2 linked regions of the Arabidopsis thaliana genome follow. The protein of the gene in region 1 interacts with the protein of each later gene in a biochemical or structural test. Each region holds a gene or a part of one and is shown in the gene's direction. Other genes may lie near its edges.

Region 1 (8,787 bases):
GTTGGATTCATATGACTCCAGTTATTTGTGAGACTAAACTAGATTTGAATTTTGTTTCTTTTGTGAAAAATGCTTCTTTCAGTACTTCAAACTGGTGCTGTGAGTTCTGCTTCTGGTTCTGCTTATGCTGAGTTTGGGAACACTAAAGTTATTGTTTCAGTGTGAGTATTATTAGATTAGAAAACTTGTATATTCAGGATTTGCATTAACTTTTCTGTCAGCTAAATTCGCTTTTGTGTGTTCAAAAATTTTAGATTTGGGCCAAGGGAGAGTAAGAAAGCAATGGTTTATAGTGATGTAGGTAGATTGAATTGTAATGTTAGCTATACAAATTTTGCTTCCCCTACTCTTGGCCAGGTAATCTCCAAATTTCGCAACATTTGGTGTTAACTTGTTTCATCAAATTTAGTAATACATTGTGGTATTTTAGGGAACTGATCACAAAGAATATTCATCAATGCTTCACAAAGCATTGGAAGGTGTAATAATGATGGAGACGTTTCCAAAAACAACCGTTGATGTTTTTGCATTGGTTCTTGAATCTGGAGGAAGTAAGTCTTAACAATAACTCGACTGCTATCAAAATTATTTTACCAGAATGTGATTGCTTATTGGTTCGCTTGGACATTCGTGGAGTTGATTATGGAAGCAACTTATTGGATTGTTGTTTGGCATTTTCTGATTTTCTCCAATGGTATTGTATTGCAGGTGACCTCTCTGTTTTGATATCATGTGCTAGTCTTGCTTTAGCTGATGCCGGAATTATGATGTATGACCTTATCACAGCTGTTTCAGTGGTATGTGTATGTTACAATAGTTGCATTGATTCCTCTGCGTTATCTCTTATGTTTATTAGCATTAAGTGAAGAAGAAAGTAACACATACATTGACATATACAAGTGCACCATAGTCTGAGACATGTAAAACGTATAGATATCTGTTAATTCTTTATTTTGATACACTGAAATTATGCCTGCAATTTTCGAAGTCTTGCATAGGCAAAAGCCTTATGATAGACCCGGTTACAGAGGAGGAAGGATGTGAAGATGGCAGCTTTATGATGACGTGCATGCCATCTCGTTATGAAATCACTCAGCTAACCATCACTGGTGAATGGACAACACCTAATATCAACGAGGTATGCCTTTCAATAATATCTCTTGTCCTTAATTTGCCGATGACGGTTAGAGACAAAAGGTCTTTCTTTTCTTAGTGTTGAATATTGATGTTATTCAACTGCTTTGTTTGTCTAAATCACATGGATATTGGTTAATTAGACTGTTCTTCATTTTCTTTTTAAGCTGTTCATACCATAGGGTCTATGTTGTTAACATATAATTGTGACATAGGAGCTGTGCAGACATGTTACCAAACATTTGTATTTCAAATATTGCAGGCAATGCAGCTTTGCTTGGATGCTAGTTCAAAACTTGGAGAGATCATGCGTGATTGTCTGAAACAGTCTGCCTCAGCTTCCGATGAATGAGCATAAATAACTATGATTTTGGATTGTAGCTCAGACTTGGTATGAAACCGGTTTTAGCTGTTATAGGTAAACGGATTTAGTCTAAACCTGTGTGTAGTTTAAACCGATGTATGTTTTCACATAAGATTTGATGGAACTAGATCTTTAGCTATGAAATGGATCCCAATTGCGAGTGGTATCAAAGACATACAGAATTTAAAGTAGGGAATTTCAACAAATCAATCACATTGTTCTTTACAATTTCAAAAAACTTGTGGATGATATTAATATCAGATTTTCTAAATTTATACGAAAATGGAATGATATTAAGAATAGTATACAGAAAAATGAAGAAAAGAGTAACTGATTTTTGCATCTTAAAAAAGAAAAAGTCTTCTCTGGTTCACACATCACACAAGTTGGGGGCGGTGATGAAGGAGGGTGTTTAGGTAATATCAGCTAACGTCGGAACTTCAACTGATCATGTAGTACGTACGATACGAAGAAGAAGAATCTAATCCGCATGACATGTGATTATTTTGGTCAGAGAGAGAAGAGAAGACGTGTGTCGCAGCAAAGTGGACAGTTGTGCCCTTATAGCCAAAGAAGACTTCACACGTTTTCAACACCACCTAACAACTGTTTCTTTCTATCTCCCACCTCTTCCCCATTTTTGTCTTTTTATTTCTTCTTCTAGTTTCTCCCAATTTTCTCTTTGATTTTTTTTTGTTTTTTCTTGTCTTCTTGTTAAGATTGATACATGAACTAATAGAGTAACTAGTAAATTCTAAGACCTTTCAGCATTCTTGAAATGACAATTACAAACACACGATAATTTGCGGGAACATGAATGATAGAAGACATTAGAAAAAAAAAACTCCAATGTATAAAAAGTTTATGAAAAATATAATAACATTTTTTACGAATTATTCAGTTTTCTGTAAATTTTTATTTATTTCGTAAATGCTTGTATCTAACATTTCAGCTAGATTGTTCTACTGATTAATTTCTATCTAACATTTTATGAACTTTATCATTTCAGTAACCGCAATGCCCGTGACCACTCTGCATATAAAAGTGTATGTCTTCTTCACATTCAATCACACGTACTTTCAAAATTCTACTAAAAATTAAATGTTTTTTTTTTATATAACTAATCAAAGATATCTAAAGTTTTTGAGTCAAAGTTATGCGTTACTCAAATAGAAAAAAACATTTAGAAACCTAAAATAATATCTGCTCCTCCTAAAACATTTAATAACATTCAAAAACAAGTCAATAAAAAAAAAAAAATTTACGAATAAAGCCCTTAATTAGTCAAAAATGAACGAACAAAACAAAGGTAGGAGAAAGTATGAATGGCCCAATCGGGGAGATTGCAGTAGATTCATACAAATCTGTAAATACAATTTTACCGGGTTTGGTAAAAATCACAATAGATCATTTTTTATTAATAAGAAAGAGAAAAAGAATGCAAATTCGTGGGGTTTCCAAGAAATGCAAGTGATATATTTAGAGATTGAGATCTGACCCCATTTTTTGCTTAACACACAAAAAATCCTTGGGCAGAGGAAAAAGTTTATAGCGACTCTTTTCCTCTAAAAGGGTCTGTCTCTTCCTTCTTCTCTCTTCAGATCTCCATTTCACGGTATCCTTCTCTCTTCCCCTTGTCTCTATTGACTTTTATTTGCTTTGATTTTTATCGATCGTCTCTGATCTTTTGCTAATTTAACTTGTTTCCGTTTGTTTTGAATTTACTCTCTCCTGATCTTTGGCATGTATTTTGAATCTGCTGTTCTTAGTTTTTTATTTGATCTTGTTCTCGTCTGTCTTAATATTGAATAATTGACTAGTTTTATTTACAGATCTTTGCATTATAGATCCCTTCAAGTGCGATTTTAATCGTAGATTAGTTTTGGATCCGTTATATTGGACTGATGTTTTTGATGTATTTTTTGGTATTAGGATCAATCCTGTGTTTGAAACAATGGGTGTTGAAGTTGTAAACTCTGGTGGATTTGAGGTTGCTCCGGCTCCTTTCGAGGGGAAACCTGAGAAGAACGGGAAGCTGGACCAAGGAAAAGGAGATGATGCCCCCATCAATTTTGGTTCAGTCGGTGAGCTACCAAAGAATGCCGAAGAGAATAATAACAAAGTGGTCAACTCTGATGCACCCAAAAATGCAGCAGAAGAGTGGCCTGTGGCTAAGCAGATCCACTCTTTCTACCTTGTTAAATACCGTTCTTACGCTGACCCCAAAATTAAAGCTAAGCTTGATCTAGCTGATAAAGAGCTTGAAAAGTTGAACAAAGCTCGGACTGGAGTTTTGGACAAGTTGAGAGCTAAGAGGGTATGTTTTTTTTGCTACCTTCTTGTGTCGGATTTAGGAGTTTCGTTATTTCTTTTATAGTGGTGCTGATAATGCGGTTTTGGTAATGCCTAGGCCGAGAGATCAGAGTTATTTGATCTGCTGGACCCGTTGAAGTCAGAGCGTAAGGGATTCAACACAATGTTTGATGAGAAAAGAAAGGAAATGGAACCATTGCAGCAAGCACTGGGAAAGTTAAGGAGCAATGATGGTGGGAGTGCTCGTGGCCCTGCTATCTGTTCCTCCGAGGAAGAGCTGAATAGTATGGTAATTATATGAGACCTTTTTTTTTGTTTTCGATAGCTTTGGTTAGCCTTTTCGGTATTCTCATTTGCCTGAGTTTGTGGAAAATGAAGATATACAGCTATCAGTATCGGATTCAACATGAAAGCATTCCGTTAACCGAGGAGAAGCAGATTCTCAAAGAGATCAGGCTGCTTGAAGGGACAAGAGATAAGGTCATTGCTAATGCCGCTATGAGAGCCAAAATCAAAGAATCTATGGGTCAGAAGGATGATATCCAAGGTCAAGTTAAGGTAAGAGAGTTGTGGCCGGATTCTTGCTGTTATATAGTCTGTAGAAGTTGGTTTCATATGTGATGCTTTTTGCAGTTAATGGGTGCTGGTTTGGATGGAGTGAAAAAGGAGAGGCAAGCAATTTCAGCAAGGATTAATGAGCTGAGTGAGAAGTTGAAAGCTACCAAAGATGAGATTACGGTACTGGAAAATGAGCTCAAGACTGTGAGCGAAAAGAGAGACAAAGCCTATTCAAACATTCATGACCTCAGGAGGCAACGCGATGAGACGGTACAAACACTTACTTTTGAGCATTTTCTTCTGATGAAGAAGGATTCGTTTGTGTCAATTAGTAATCTTTGATTTTTGTATTCTTTTCTCATACAGAATTCCGAGTATTACCAAAACCGTACTGTGTTGAACAAAGCTAGAGACTTGGCTGCACAAAAGAACATAAGCGAGCTTGAGGCGCTAGCCAATGCTGAGGTTGAGAAATTTATATCCCTTTGGTGCAGTAAGAAGAATTTCAGAGAAGATTATGAGAAGAGAATCTTGCAATCACTTGATTCTAGGCAGCTGAGCCGAGATGGACGGATGAGGAACCCCGATGAGAAGCCTCTGATTGCTCCAGAGGCAGCACCATCAAAGGCAACGCCTTCTGAAACCGAGGTTGTCCCTAAAGCTAAGGCAAAGCCGCAGCCAAAGGAGGAACCAGTTTCTGCACCTAAACCAGATGCTACTGTTGCTCAGAATACTGAGAAAGCTAAAGATGCAGTAAAAGTAAAGAATGTTGCTGATGATGATGATGATGAAGTATATGGTCTTGGAAAGCCGCAGAAGGAAGAAAAGCCGGTTGATGCAGCTACGGCGAAGGAAATGAGAAAGCAAGAGGAGATTGCTAAAGCCAAGCAAGCCATGGAAAGGAAGAAGAAGCTGGCAGAGAAAGCTGCTGCTAAAGCTGCTATAAGAGCTCAAAAGGAAGCTGAGAAGAAAGAAAAGAAGGAAATTACCTTTTCTTTTTTGTTGTACCTCAATGCTCTTTGCATTCTTCTCTCTCCATTCTAACAGTTCTCGCCATCTTTTTTTGTGTGTTGCAGGAGCAAGAGAAGAAGGCCAAGAAGAAAACCGGAGGCAACACAGAAACCGAGACTGAGGAAGTTCCAGAAGCTTCTGAGGAGGAGATTGAAGCTCCGGTGCAGGAGGAGAAACCGCAGAAGGAAAAAGTCTTCAAGGAGAAACCAATAAGGAACAGGACCCGCGGTAGGGGACCAGAAACGATCCCAAGAGCGATCCTTAAGCGTAAGAAGTCGACTAATTACTGGGTTTATGCTGCTCCAGCGGCTCTGGTGGTACTGTTGCTTCTTGTCTTGGGTTACTACTACGTTCTCTAGATCGAACGGAGTGATCAAGCGAAGCTGTCTTGTTGTAGTTTGGAATACTTTAAAACTGGGATTTTTGCCTTCTTGACTCTTAAAAAACTCATAAGCTTATGCATCTTTTACATACGAGTAGAGACTCTTTTCTTTTAAGTACTTTTTACAATCTTCTCTTCTGTTGTTGAGGCTTTAACTTTGAAGGAAGAAAACAGTTTTTGTTACATTTTATAGTTTTCCATAATGTACTGCTTGAGATTTGATATTTCTTTTCGTCTCTTTGCAAGGTCGTTGGGTCAAAAAATTTCCATGATAATAGAAACCATTTTATACATAATTATCAGAGACTAAAGTAGTGACATTTCTACATGATGAACTCTTTTACAACAGAAGATTAACATTCAGCTTTTAGACCCTCTTCCTCTGTTCTCTCTCCAAGCTTTTTGCTTCTTATTCCACCTTTCTTTAGCAATCTTGTCTGACTTCCACCGTTGGTTCCGAAATCGTTCTCTCCCTTTTAGCCAGTCGGAGTAGTCCTTACCGGGATCACACGCTATGAAATCTGCCAACTCGTCCACATCGGTTTTTGTCACGTTACCTTTTCCTGCCATACACCACAGAAATCTCTCCCCATTGCAGGTTTCCTCTTCAACACCAACTCCTGAATCTGAACCATTCTCTGGACCTTTAGCTTCAGACACCTTCCTGCACAACCATGGAGTAATATGTAGTTGTTGGTTAAAGCTCTCATGGATGCATTATGAAAGCGAAGAAGAGAAAAAATATGACTTTTGCTGGTCTATACATACCCCAAGTACAAAGTTCGGTTTTTGTGAAACTTCAAAGCAACTGCCCCGCTCTGTTTCCTATCTACTGCTGTCTGTACCATATAATTATATTGATCCATTTAGAAAAGCGCAGAATTTAGACTTTGTGCAAAAGAGTTTTTAGTTGTTACCTTGTCAGCTTTACCAGAAGCAGCCAAGTTTTTGGAACCACTGGATAGTATAGACGATGACGTGTTTTCTGAGTGACCAACTGAATCCCCAAGTGCTTCCAAGTCACCCCCTTCTAGGATGAATAAATACATAGATATCACCATTCCAAAAATGGAGTCCTTCACTAGAAAGTCAAGCTTGAGTGCAAAGCTTACAGACAGTAAGCCTGAAAAATGCATAAGCATCCACTTAGATCTGTGAGGGTAAGATTCCATTCTATCGCGCAGGAAACTTTGACAGGGCATATGAATATTGAACTGTTCAAAACGTTGAACAACATCCATCATGGCTTTGTATTCCTTGCAAGCTCGAACATCACCTCCAGCTTCATGCCAGTTCCAATTCCTGAGAACCCGGATGGCTTGCAACATCGAACAAGTCATGAACTTAAGTGTGGATGCAAGCAGATATAGATCTTCCATACTAGATGTGTTGTATTTTTCCAACACAGAGTCCATAACATCATCAGAACTAGCTCTAAGTATCACGCAACCAAGAATTGATAAGGTCTGAGACAACATACTTTCAGAGCAGGAGCTATCAAATACACATAAGCTTTCCTTTGCGTATGCAACAGAATACGCTACCAGCTCATTGTTTTCTCTCTTCGCATTATCACTTTGATATGAATCCCATGAATCCTTTAGCTGCTGTGTAACATCATTAACTTTCGCCAGTGTTGAGGGCAAAAGACGATGTTCAAAAGCCACCCGAGACTTACTCGTCAAAAAGCCAAACTTCCCAGACAGGCCATTCTCACTCTTAGACATGTGTCTCTTATACAAAACAACAGACTTTTCAAATGCATCAATATAGTGATCAATAAGCTGAAGGTCTAATCCCTTAAAACATGGATGTGAACAAATACCAATGGCGTCAGACACCAATAAAACCACATAGGCATGGATCATTTTTGGTGCAGAGAACATAACCGGGTTTAGCAGCAAGGACACAGCAGCACTCAAGCTTATCTGGGGAGTTCTAAATGCATTACCTTTCTTCCAATATAATCTCTCAACACACATTTGATTCGTTTTCTCATCAGAAGTTGCGATAATAAAATGAGCAGAAACGATTTGCACCACACCGGCCCTATCATGCTTACTAAACAGTCTACATGAGGAGAATGCAGAATCAACTACGAAAAGAAGGTCGCTGATTGACTTATTCACCAAAATCTCATCCATAAAAACCTGTACATATAAATAATCAAAAACCCAGTGAGCATGCTTTCTTCAACTTAAAAGCCCTTGCCAAAGGTATAGTCAAAAAGCCACAAGTTCATCAGAAATCCAAGATAAAAATGAGCCACAAATTAGTTAACTTTTACCTCAATCCCTGTACAAAGAAACGTATGACGGGGATCTAAAGAACCGTCATGCGTGAATACAAAAGAACAATCTCCATTTCTTGCACGAATCAATCTACCGAGGATCGAGAGAAGAGTTTTGGCCTTCTCCAGAACAAGCTCTTGTTTGGCCACAAGTAAAGACATGATCTTCATACAACATTTTAAGAACAGCGAAGCTAATTCAATACTATCTTCTGTACTTTCAAATGTAGGACAAGTTTCAGCCTTTTGTTTGAATAAAGTAGCGAACAGGCTTTCGAGACTCCTATCAAGCTCTGTGAACAACACATCAGAGAGGAAACAGACATCATCGAAATTGATCAAGTCCACTTTCTCTCCACGGAACTTGATATTCCAATGATGTGAAGCAATGTCACAATTCTCCCAATTTGTTGGTTGGGTTAATGATAAAGGACCCAGAAGGCACAATAAACGTTTCAAAATTGGCTTCTGAGAAACCTGGAAATTCAAAAGGACTGTTGATTATTTCCAAAAACCCACAAATCCTAAATTACTTCACACCCTTAAAAATCATAACTTTTGAGCACGATACTAATCCTCGACAAAATTTAGGAAACTAATCAGAATCTAAGCATTGCCCAGTACGGCTAATTGAACAGAAACCAAGATGCAGAAACATTGTACTCGAAATTGAGAAAATTGTACCTGAGAGGACGTAATTGCTGAAGCAAGGGATCGGAATAAGTTGACGGGATC
Region 2 (11,412 bases), on another chromosome or scaffold:
ATCTAATCACAAGCGTAGTTGAAAACTTATCGCCCTCGCTATATTGATGTCAGTGTATTAACAAAATTATCATTATGCTAGTACTTATAATTATATGAATAAATAATAAACACTTGGATTCTAATATGTTCGCATGAGGATGAAAGTAAACTTTTATGCAAAACAAACTTATTATATATTATTGGTGTTCTATTTGGATTCTGTCTGCTGAACTGTATGGTTGTATTAAAACATATATACAATCTTTTACTTGTGTTTGTGGTAGAAATGGAAAATAGAAAAAAGAAGTGATAGAAACAAAAGTAATTTGGGGTATTGTAGTACTAGCGTTAGTTTTCTAAAAAATACCACTTAAAATTAGTATTTACAGATAACAGTTTAGCGAGCATAACTTACTGAATAGTTTCAAAATTGTTTTTAACAGACCTCTGTAAAAATTTAATTAGCGACCTTTTCTATGCTAAAATATTTTTCAAGTGTTTATATATAATCAATTGATATATCAAACAGAATCAAAAGCAAGGGTTAATTTGCAAAATGGCTAATTTTTTTTATAGTTGCTAAAAATATAATTTTAAATAACTAACTAAAAGCAAATGAAAAAGTACTTTAATAGTTGACCTTCAAAAATATTTCATTTAATATTCACGTAGAGCTACTCGTTTTATTCATTGGTAAAATTTAAGAAAACGTGGTAACAAATGATTTTCTTTTTTGGAGGCTAATATAATAATGAATACTATTAAGTACGAGAGAAAAAAAAGATTAGGCTAAGAACTAATAATAATGGAATGATGGAATATAAAAATTCTATTTTGTTTGGATGATCTAACCTTTCATTTAACCTAAATGGGTGATTTTCTTTTCTGTAATATATCACTTTTATATTATATGATTTTAATGTTAACAGATTTTATTAAATAGAGTTGAAGCTATATGATTTCAGGATGCCATATCATACTAATATTCTACGTACAAAACAATTTAGCACAGAAATAGTTTTACCGAAAACTAATTGATGGCAAGAAATCACATGATTATTATTTTTTGTAATTTGTTTTGTATATTTTCCATTAATATTTTGCTAATTAACTCAGCTAAAAATGTTTCAAAAAATAGATCTGATTATTTGGATGTTGGTTTTATATTTCCTTGTTATAAAAACAAAGAATATGACGAATAAATTTAACTTTTTGAAATCCTAAAAAAAAAAGCATACACATTTAAATAAATACTTTTATGTATTTACCTATGAAAGTTAAATTGATTTTGTCTATCAGATACATAAATGATCAAATAATAAATGAGAAAAACCTGCCCATATGTGCCGATATATATCCAGTTGAATTAAACCATCATCTTCTTGTTTCTTTGTTTTTAAAATTCTCTTATGAAATCGATCTTTTAGATAAAATACAATCGAATTTATGGAAGCAAGAAAAAAAAATTACGTAGGGGAGGTGTATTATTGGGGGACCCAGCACGATCAAAAAGTCAATATTCATCAGCCAATTTGCTGAATAAATAAATAAATAACCTTGAAAACAATTTTTGGTTAAATTACAAAAATAATGATATCCACAAACATGTGAATTGTTCCAGCAATTGCTGACCTTGCCATGAGGCACCTTGGAAGAGCCATTGCTTCATTACAATCCTTTAAAGCCATAAATATGAGATTAGGATTACCAAAATTTCACATATAACAAATTGTTTTATATCATTACTAGCTTAATATGTGTTTTATTATAGTTTTAGATCGACGTCATCTGAATATTTTCCCCCAAACTCCTAAATTTTATAATCTGTGTCTAAACCTAATTTTATATTTCAAAACATCCCTTTTTCTGGAAGAAACTTGTCTTTTAATTTTTTTTTTTTTTTTCACACTTGTCTTTTAATTTCCTTAAGAGACCAAATCAAGTTAATTTAGTGTACTCACCACCTTTAAAACAGGTCAAGTTAATTTATTTGAACATCAGTAATAAATTTATGAACATCTCTTTTCAACATCGGTATTCTTAAATAGTGTTTTAGAATCGTCATTTTAACTTTATGTTTCACTAAACTTAGAAAATATTTAGTTTTTTTTATCTCAATTAGTAATTATCATTTAAATTTTTATTTTCTCGGTTTCTACTTCGCCACTATTATTTAACATATTATTAAACAAATTAGTATTATACGGGTTGATTTTAATTTTCCAATTACAAATTAATTAAAATTCAACTTTTTGATTGGTTGTATAATCCGAAGGAAAAATGTTTACATACGAATTGTTTTAAAAACACTTTGATTTAAAAGTCCGACCTAAACAATCAACATGAAAATTAAACTTATGAGCAAATTAGGTTGATCTAGAAAATAACTTTTGCATTTGTCTCATAGGGAATTATAAAGTTAGTATCTACACACATATATCAAATATACATGTTATATCTATATTACTCTCTCTCTCTCTCTCTCTCTCTCTCTATATATATATATATATATATATATGTATATTCACAAATCCATGTATGTATTTTAAATTTTGTTTGTTTTTTTTTTCCTTCAAAATGAGTAACTTATATAGAAGTCATTAAGATTAGCTTTGCACAACTCTTTGGGAACAAAAAAGAACCCAAATTTTAAGCATTATTCAATGTTCATATAATTATTATGTATATTATTTTTCCTTATTGATTATCAATTTTATATACACAAAAAGATATCAGTGAAGAACTTATGATTGTGCATATTTTCTGTCCATACATAACCACAATATTAATCAAAAATTTAAATTTATCTTAGATATTTTTCTTATGATAATTCAATACTGTATAATTTTTTAAAATCTATACATTACAGTTTTGTCTTTTAAATCATATTCTAATATGCATAAATATCTAGAAAAATACTAACTCCATAGAATTAAATTTCTTATGTAAGTTTAGTATATTATCCTAAATTTGTGTTAATGTTAAGATTTCTACTAAATTTGATACTCAAAAGTAAAAAGTTTCTCTTAATAGAAAAAAATAAATATAGATTCTCTTACATTACAGGATCAGAGTATAAAACCAGTTTAAGTAAACAATGTTTCAAAAAACAGTATGATATCTGAAATTTTAATTATAAAACCAAAAATCCAAAGTCAAATATACGTTTTCCAAGTGAGAAAGGACCCATAAACAATTAACAACCATTGATGATCACCAAATCATAATCAACGGTCGAAATGAATGAAAAATAAAAGTCTGAAACGGTGGAGAGTTTCGTCGTTTTGAGTGGTTATAAAAAGAGAAGGCGTATATCTCCTCTGCAACAGAAGCTCGCTTTCTCTCTCTCTCTCTCGTGTGTGTGTGTGTGATCGAGTGGTGAAACGACAGAGAGGGGCGTCGTTTTGTTGATTTCTTCTGGGTGAAGATGTCAGGTCTCGAAGATATCAAGAACGAGACCGTTGATCTGGTATTATTTCGATTCTCTTCTCGCTTAAATTCTTCGAGTTTTTAATTTCATTTTTAGTGTTTATTCATCATGCCCACAAAGTGTTCGATGATTTGCTTGAATGAGAAATAGATCTGTTTCGTTGTTGTTCCTTGCATGGTTTCACGTTTGATTCTTTTACCCTTTTTTCTTCAAATCATTTTCCGATGATTCTACTCCTTTTTTCTTTGATCGAAAACTGAATCTTAATTCCTCAAGAACCCGAAAAATCCGCAAAAAAAAAAAAAACCGATTTTTCCCCCCAATTGTATCTGCCTCATTTTCGATGATTCTATCATGGATCCTATACAAAACCCAAATCAAGATTCCAACTTTATTAATTTTGGTCTAAAATTAGGGTAAAATAACAGATGTCTTTTAAAGGTTTTAGGTATTAAGCCAAAAATAAGTAGATTTTGATACTGTTCATCAGAAAAAGTAGATCTACCCAAAAACTACACACATGTGAAACGCTGAATAAAAAGATAAGTCTTTTTAGTGGTGGAGCTAAGCTTAAGCTACGTCTCAACAAAAGTCTCTTTCACATATTTATTAAAAGAGAAAAAAATCGCAAAAAGTTTGATTTTGCTTGTGATATATAACTTTCTTTCTCTAAAAAAAATCATCTTTTTTTTGTAAAGATAACGTTTTTGATGTTAAAGCAGTTCATAATATTCTTCTATCTTCCACCCATGAAAAATACCAGAGTTTTTAATAAATTTAAGTTTTCAACTTTTTTTTAAATTGTTGTTGATGTTCGAATTTTTTTGATGTACCTTTCCGTAGTACGTTTTTTTTTTTTTTGAACTTCTTTGTCCTTTTGTAAAACATCTATCAGTAGAAGCAACTTGTGAATTCCTCTATTGTAATTGATTTTGTTTAGTGAAATTGTTTTATGACCGAAATACCCTTAACCGGACTTTGGCTTTCACGCCGGAAAGTAGCCACCTTTCATGGAGGGAATCCCGCAGGCGCGTGTGTTACACGTTCCATAACACGTGCATTGAAGTAGTAGTAGTAGTGGTGGTGGTGGTGGTGGTCCCTCTATCCTCCACTGCCAGATTCTTTTCACCTTTCATTGTCACAACTTGAGTCAACGCCACTCTTCATCTTCCGAGTCGCCGAGTTGGATCGTTTCTGACATTTGTAAAAAGATTTCAAAACTAGAAAAGTTTTTGTCTTTTTTACCCTTTTGTTCTTGTTTGATGTTTGAGTTACTATTGTTTGGGTTCTGATCAAAACTTTTGCTTTGATTCTCAGGAAAAAATTCCGATTGAGGAAGTTTTCCAGCAGCTAAAATGTACAAGGGAAGGATTGACAACGCAGGAAGGGGAAGACAGGATTGTGATATTTGGCCCCAACAAGCTCGAAGAGAAGAAGGTTTGAGTTTGACTTAGCATTGTTGTTTTATCATCATTGAAAGCTTTGGTTTTGTTTAACTCACGAGGTTGATCTTTCGTAAAAAAATATCAGGAAAGCAAAATTCTGAAGTTTCTGGGGTTCATGTGGAATCCGCTTTCATGGGTTATGGAAGCTGCAGCTCTCATGGCCATTGCTTTGGCTAATGGTGATAATCGACCTCCGGATTGGCAAGATTTTGTGGGTATTATCTGTCTGCTTGTTATCAACTCCACAATCAGTTTCATTGAAGAAAACAACGCCGGAAATGCTGCAGCTGCTCTCATGGCTGGTCTTGCTCCTAAAACCAAGGTAATATGTTGGTGGATGCTGTGACATTACTGTACAAGATATTTCGAGACTTCTAGAGAGCTTAACCTGTTTCTCTGTTTTCAGGTTCTTAGGGATGGAAAATGGAGTGAACAAGAGGCTGCTATCCTTGTCCCAGGTGATATTGTTAGCATTAAACTTGGAGACATTATCCCAGCCGATGCCCGTCTTCTTGAAGGAGATCCTTTAAAGGTTGATCAGTCTGCTCTAACTGGAGAGTCCCTTCCTGTGACCAAGCACCCTGGTCAAGAAGTTTTCTCTGGTTCAACTTGTAAACAAGGAGAAATCGAAGCGGTTGTTATAGCCACTGGAGTTCACACCTTCTTTGGTAAAGCTGCTCACCTTGTGGACAGCACTAACCAAGTTGGGCACTTCCAGAAAGTTCTTACATCCATTGGAAACTTCTGTATCTGTTCTATTGCTATTGGTATAGCGATTGAAATAGTCGTCATGTACCCTATCCAACACCGAAAGTACAGAGATGGAATTGACAATCTCTTGGTCCTCTTGATCGGTGGTATCCCCATTGCTATGCCCACGGTCTTGTCTGTGACTATGGCTATCGGGTCTCACAGGTTGTCTCAGCAAGGTGCTATCACCAAACGTATGACAGCCATTGAAGAAATGGCGGGAATGGATGTCCTTTGCAGTGACAAAACCGGGACACTAACCCTTAATAAATTGAGTGTGGATAAAAACTTGGTTGAGGTTTTCTGCAAGGGTGTGGAGAAAGATCAAGTTCTACTATTTGCAGCTATGGCTTCTAGGGTGGAGAACCAGGACGCTATTGATGCAGCCATGGTTGGAATGCTTGCTGATCCGAAAGAGGTATAACTCTAATCATTTTGAATTACTTCTTTAGTTTAGTGAAAGGTCGAGAAAACAAGTTCTTAATTTCTTATGTTTCACTTGGATTTTCATAGGCCCGAGCTGGAATCAGAGAGGTTCACTTCCTTCCATTCAACCCTGTGGATAAGAGAACTGCTTTGACTTACATCGACTCTGATGGTAACTGGCACAGAGTCAGCAAAGGTGCTCCCGAGCAGGTGATGAATCTTCAACTTTCTCCTAAAGATGTTGCGTTTTTCCTTTATTCTGTGTACTAATTCGATTCTCCCACACAGATCCTTGACCTTGCCAATGCCAGGCCTGACCTTAGGAAGAAGGTACTCTCTTGTATTGACAAGTACGCTGAGCGCGGTCTTAGGTCGTTGGCAGTAGCTCGTCAGGTACTTTTTTACAAGCAATTTTTACATTGGTCTTATTTGGGTTTTTTTTTTGGCCTGTAAATCAACTGTTTAATTGCATATTCCTTTTTAGGTGGTACCCGAGAAAACAAAAGAAAGCCCAGGTGGACCATGGGAATTTGTTGGCTTGTTGCCTCTTTTTGACCCTCCAAGACACGACAGTGCCGAAACCATTCGTAGGGCGTTGAATCTAGGTGTTAATGTGAAGATGATCACTGGTAACTATTCTTATTCATCATTTTTTTCCCATGAAATCCATGGTTATTTAGATGTTTTCCCCTAACTTGCGCTCTAACTACGTTGCCAGGTGATCAACTTGCTATTGGTAAGGAAACCGGTCGCAGGCTTGGAATGGGAACCAATATGTATCCATCTGCGGCTCTTCTCGGTACCGACAAGGACTCGAACATTGCATCCATCCCTGTTGAGGAGTTGATCGAGAAGGCTGATGGGTTTGCCGGCGTCTTTCCAGGTTATGCCTTGCTTTCAGTTTCAAACCTCATCACATGTTCATTATAAAGTTTTGTTATATTGATCCAAGGTTCTTATGGTTACTGATTGCAGAGCACAAATATGAAATTGTGAAAAAGCTGCAGGAGAGGAAGCACATTGTTGGTATGACCGGTGATGGTGTTAATGATGCACCCGCTTTGAAGAAAGCAGATATCGGTATTGCTGTGGCCGATGCTACAGATGCTGCTCGTGGTGCTTCAGATATCGTCCTCACGGAACCTGGGCTGAGTGTCATCATCAGTGCCGTTCTCACTAGCAGAGCTATCTTCCAGAGAATGAAGAACTACACCGTGCGTATTCTTAATCTCACTCTAATATATTATGCCCACCACTTGTGTTCGTTTGCGCTGGAAACTAATAATTTTAGTTTCCTGCTTGTGACAGATTTATGCAGTCTCAATCACAATCCGTATTGTGGTAAGTAGAAACCCGTTTTACAAATCTATCACTTGTTTAGCATGATTTTACTTTTTGTATACTGATCATATTGCGTTGTAACTCTTGCAGTTTGGTTTCATGCTTATTGCTTTGATATGGGAATTTGACTTCTCAGCGTTCATGGTTCTGATTATTGCCATCCTTAATGATGGTGAGCAAATAACATCCTACTTTTCTAGACAGCGTCCTCACTCGTTATCAGCTATATCTTATGGTATTATGTGTTACTACCTTTTAGGTACTATCATGACAATCTCAAAGGACAGAGTCAAGCCATCTCCCACACCTGATAGCTGGAAGCTCAAAGAAATTTTCGCCACTGGAATTGTGCTGGGAGGCTACCAAGCCATTATGAGTGTTATTTTCTTCTGGGCTGCTCACAAGACCGACTTTTTCTCGGTACATCATCAGTTTATTTTCATTTCTTTTCTCTTTTTTTTGGTACAGGTGCTTCAGGGACTATATAGATATATATGGCCAGGCCTTTTGCTCTGAGTCTTAAAAAATTGTCTCACCTTCGATTTGCAGGACAAGTTCGGTGTGAGGTCAATCAGGGACAATAACGATGAACTAATGGGTGCTGTGTATCTACAAGTTAGTATCATCAGTCAAGCTCTAATCTTTGTCACCAGGTCAAGGAGTTGGTCATTTGTCGAACGTCCTGGGGCGCTTCTGATGATTGCATTCGTCATTGCACAACTGGTAAGGACATCAAGCACACATATTTTCTGAACTTCGATTAGGTTAAAGAAACCCACTGAATTCATTCACTCCTTCCAAATGCAGGTTGCAACTTTGATCGCAGTGTATGCCGACTGGACATTTGCAAAGGTGAAGGGTATCGGTTGGGGATGGGCAGGTGTGATTTGGATTTACAGTATCGTAACATACTTCCCACAGGACATTTTGAAGTTTGCCATTCGGTATATCTTGAGTGGAAAGGCTTGGGCCAGCTTGTTTGACAACAGGGTACATACAAGTCTATCTACCACTATAGAGACCTCTTTTACAAGCTGATGGTAACATACTAATCACATCTTCTTCTATGTTAACAGACCGCTTTCACAACCAAGAAAGATTACGGTATTGGAGAAAGAGAAGCTCAATGGGCACAAGCTCAAAGGACATTGCACGGTCTGCAGCCAAAAGAAGATGTTAATATCTTCCCAGAGAAAGGAAGTTACAGAGAGCTGTCTGAGATCGCAGAGCAAGCCAAGAGAAGGGCCGAGATAGCTAGGTAAGTAGTGTGATTAAAACGAATCTCAACGGAAAGATGCCATTTGATAGAGGTTCTGATTGGTGAATGATTTAATATTATGTTGTGACAGGCTTAGGGAGCTTCACACATTGAAGGGACATGTGGAATCAGTCGCAAAGCTAAAGGGATTGGACATTGATACAGCAGGACATCACTACACTGTGTAGTTGGAGTTGCACAACAACACAAACATTTACCGAAAACCAACCCCATCATGACTCATCTTTTGTTTTGTCTTCACAAATCTCTCTTTAAAAGTCATTACAGTAGAGGGAAGAGAACTCTTGTGTATTGCCATAACTCTTCCAAAACTCTTTTTTCTTTTTGTTATTGTTAGTCATTGTTCTTAAAACTCCTACTCGATATGAGCTTTGCAAATTTGCCTTTGAAGAAACAAGGCCCTTTGCCTTTGAAGAGACAAGGCACTTTGCTTTTTAATGGCCTAATGTGATTATTCTATCACTCTTTTGTCTGTTTGATCAATTTCATCTTGAAGATAATATTTAAATTTAATTCTAAAACAAGAACATTCTTGGTTTTCGTATAGTTTTGGTTTTCATAAATCAAGATATTTACAATGTTGTAAATTCGAGCGAAAGAGAGTGATTAGCTAGCAATGCGAACTCACATTCGAGGGATGTGTTGTTCTCGAAAGATTATCATATAATCCAGTCCCGAAAGACTCTATCTCAAAAGACTCTATCATAGAAAGAAGATGAAGCCAACAACAAGACATTTACAATGAGAGAGCGTTTCAGCGAAGATGAAGACAACACAATATTTACAATGAGAGGGCTTCTCAGTGCTACGGCTCTTCTTCATGGGCAGACACTCAAGAAAACATGTTATTTGCAAGTTGCCAGATAATTACGAGAAAAGACATTCTCTCGTAATTCGGTTTTTGCAAATTCGAATACTTCGTAAATATCATGTAAATTTTGGGAAGAAAGATTTTCGTAATAGATCCTTCACAAAATATGTCTAGTAAATCATTGGCAAGTATTGCTATGGATTTGCAATAACTCTTTTAAATAATTTGATTTGACACAAAATAATAATATACATCCTTGCAAATCCGTAGTAATTTGCTATAGGGAAACTTAAGAAATTATAATAAAATAATATTAAAATTATTTACGATAATAATATAATACATGTAAATTGTATTGTTATTTGTAATTGCAGATGATCATTTGGCTGTTTGCACTACTATAAAACTTTATGCAAAACCAAAAGCAAAGAATGACTCTGCGAGTCACGTCCAAAGATATGGATGATGACTTCAAATCATATATATCACCATTCCTCTAAAAATAAGAATTATTTCAACTTTCTCTAAGCTGAAAGTAAATACTCTTCTTTCAAGTTGCTCGTGTAATCCAAATAATATTGATGGTGATGATGAATACATCAATTCAAAGCAGTGACAAATTCATCCACTGTGTTAATTATGACGAACATTATATCGTTATGTTTTGTGCAAAGACGAAAATTTATAATATGAAATAAAAATATGTGCACAAAAAATAATTTAAAGTCAGTCGGCGTGAAATGACAAAATTATCATTTTTTTTTTTTTTTGTTGGTATACTCTCACGTAGTAACTTATAAAATAAAATAATGAACTTAAGAAAAAAGAAACAAGACAAAACAAGGTTCTGGGTAACACATGCTATCCTTGGATACATCACAACCAACAACTACTTCTCATCAAAATGTGTAAACATTAACAAATAAATAAAAATTATTGACCAGACTTTCACACTTTATTTACATGTTTAACATAATTACATTATATATTGTTGGGCAAAAGTCAGCTTCTAAATTTCAACTTTCAACAAATTTCTTTTGACGTCAATATAACAAATTTAAATTTATAGTTTTTGCTTTGTGATTGTATTCGCCTTATCATATTGAAGAGAAGAAACAATGAATTATATTATATTCAAGAAGTATTATCTTGTACAATAGATTTTAAAACAATCATCTGCAATTCAAGACATACAATGTAGCTTCCAATCTCACTCAAAATCTCCTCCATGTTCATCTCTTCTCCACCTGGCAAAAGCTTCTGCAATTCCTTCAATCTCTTCTTGATCTCTCCTCCTTCTTCTTCTTCGTCGCTGTCTTGGTGTTTTTCTCCACCTTGTCTCTTGCTCGATCTTTCTAGAATCTCGGAAGGAGAACTACTAGTGCTAATTGGATCATCATAAGGGGAAGATAATAGCTTCTGTTGCAAGAAACGGCTCCACGCGAATTCTTGAGCAGACAATGCGAAAGCCATGTCTACTTCATGTTTCACGGTTTGTTCTAAACTTTGTTTGTTGGTTTTTGAAGAGGATTTGTTCATGTTGATCTTTTTAAGAGCTGGAACCAAGTGACTCACGTATCTTCTTGCGAAAACTGCCTTAGGGTTCTTGTTTGGTTGGAGAGAAAAGACTCGCTTTCTCTTGTTTATAATTTGCCTCTCCATGTGAAATTTGTTTGCTTCGTCGGAACTCTAACAGGGAGATACTTATATAGAGCAAAAACTCACGAGAGAGAGAAAGAGAAAGAGATGGTTTGGTAATGTATGTGAAAGGAGTAATGATATATATATTAACTCATGTGATATTTGACACGATCGATCACACTTTATGAAGTTATTTCTTTTGACATAAATGACTAATATGTGTGTGGGCATTGCACAAGTATATGAAAAAGGGTAAAACAGAAATATAGATAATATATTTCAATAGGGTTTTAACTTTATGGTAAACT

What was found.
Region 2: the proteins of PPI1 (region 1) and HA1 form a complex in vitro, tested with the Arabidopsis thaliana proteins (one study listed by BioGRID).

The regions. Positions count from the first base shown.
Region 1 is NC_003075.7:13,740,162-13,748,948, forward strand, and holds PPI1 (proton pump interactor 1), read left to right. Parts: upstream 1-2,849; 5' UTR 2,850-3,113; intron 3,114-3,141; exon of another isoform or gene 3,142-3,430; 5' UTR 3,431-3,452; coding exon 3,453-3,815; intron 3,816-3,908; coding exon 3,909-4,100; intron 4,101-4,189; coding exon 4,190-4,369; intron 4,370-4,444; coding exon 4,445-4,639; intron 4,640-4,735; coding exon 4,736-5,350; coding exon of another isoform or gene 5,351-5,413; intron 5,414-5,443; exon of another isoform or gene 5,444-5,445; coding exon 5,446-5,739; 3' UTR 5,740-6,050; downstream 6,051-8,787. Other genes in the region: RRP41L (3'-5'-exoribonuclease family protein), read left to right, coding at 83-161, 255-357, 431-551, 709-797, 989-1,138, 1,397-1,486; AT4G27510 (2-isopropylmalate synthase), read right to left, coding at 6,123-6,426, 6,531-6,601, 6,680-7,912, 8,050-8,529, 8,737-8,787. UniProt on the Arabidopsis thaliana protein: Promotes AHA1 plasma membrane ATPase activity by binding to a site different from the 14-3-3 binding site.
Region 2 is NC_003071.7:8,218,450-8,229,861, forward strand, and holds HA1 (H[+]-ATPase 1), read left to right. Parts: upstream 1-3,064; 5' UTR 3,065-3,408; coding exon 3,409-3,450; intron 3,451-3,703; exon of another isoform or gene 3,704-4,728; coding exon 4,729-4,848; intron 4,849-4,941; coding exon 4,942-5,178; intron 5,179-5,262; coding exon 5,263-6,024; intron 6,025-6,119; coding exon 6,120-6,242; intron 6,243-6,320; coding exon 6,321-6,425; intron 6,426-6,516; coding exon 6,517-6,661; intron 6,662-6,750; coding exon 6,751-6,915; intron 6,916-7,007; coding exon 7,008-7,246; intron 7,247-7,340; coding exon 7,341-7,373; intron 7,374-7,463; coding exon 7,464-7,545; intron 7,546-7,632; coding exon 7,633-7,793; intron 7,794-7,922; coding exon 7,923-8,096; intron 8,097-8,180; coding exon 8,181-8,363; intron 8,364-8,449; coding exon 8,450-8,631; intron 8,632-8,722; coding exon 8,723-8,819; 3' UTR 8,820-9,173; downstream 9,174-11,412. Other genes in the region: AT2G18969 (transcription factor/transcription regulator), read right to left, coding at 10,598-11,125; AT2G18970 (uncharacterized protein), read left to right, coding at 10,924-10,955, 11,065-11,221. UniProt on the Arabidopsis thaliana protein: The plasma membrane H(+) ATPase of plants and fungi generates a proton gradient that drives the active transport of nutrients by H(+)-symport. The resulting external acidification and/or internal alkinization may mediate growth responses.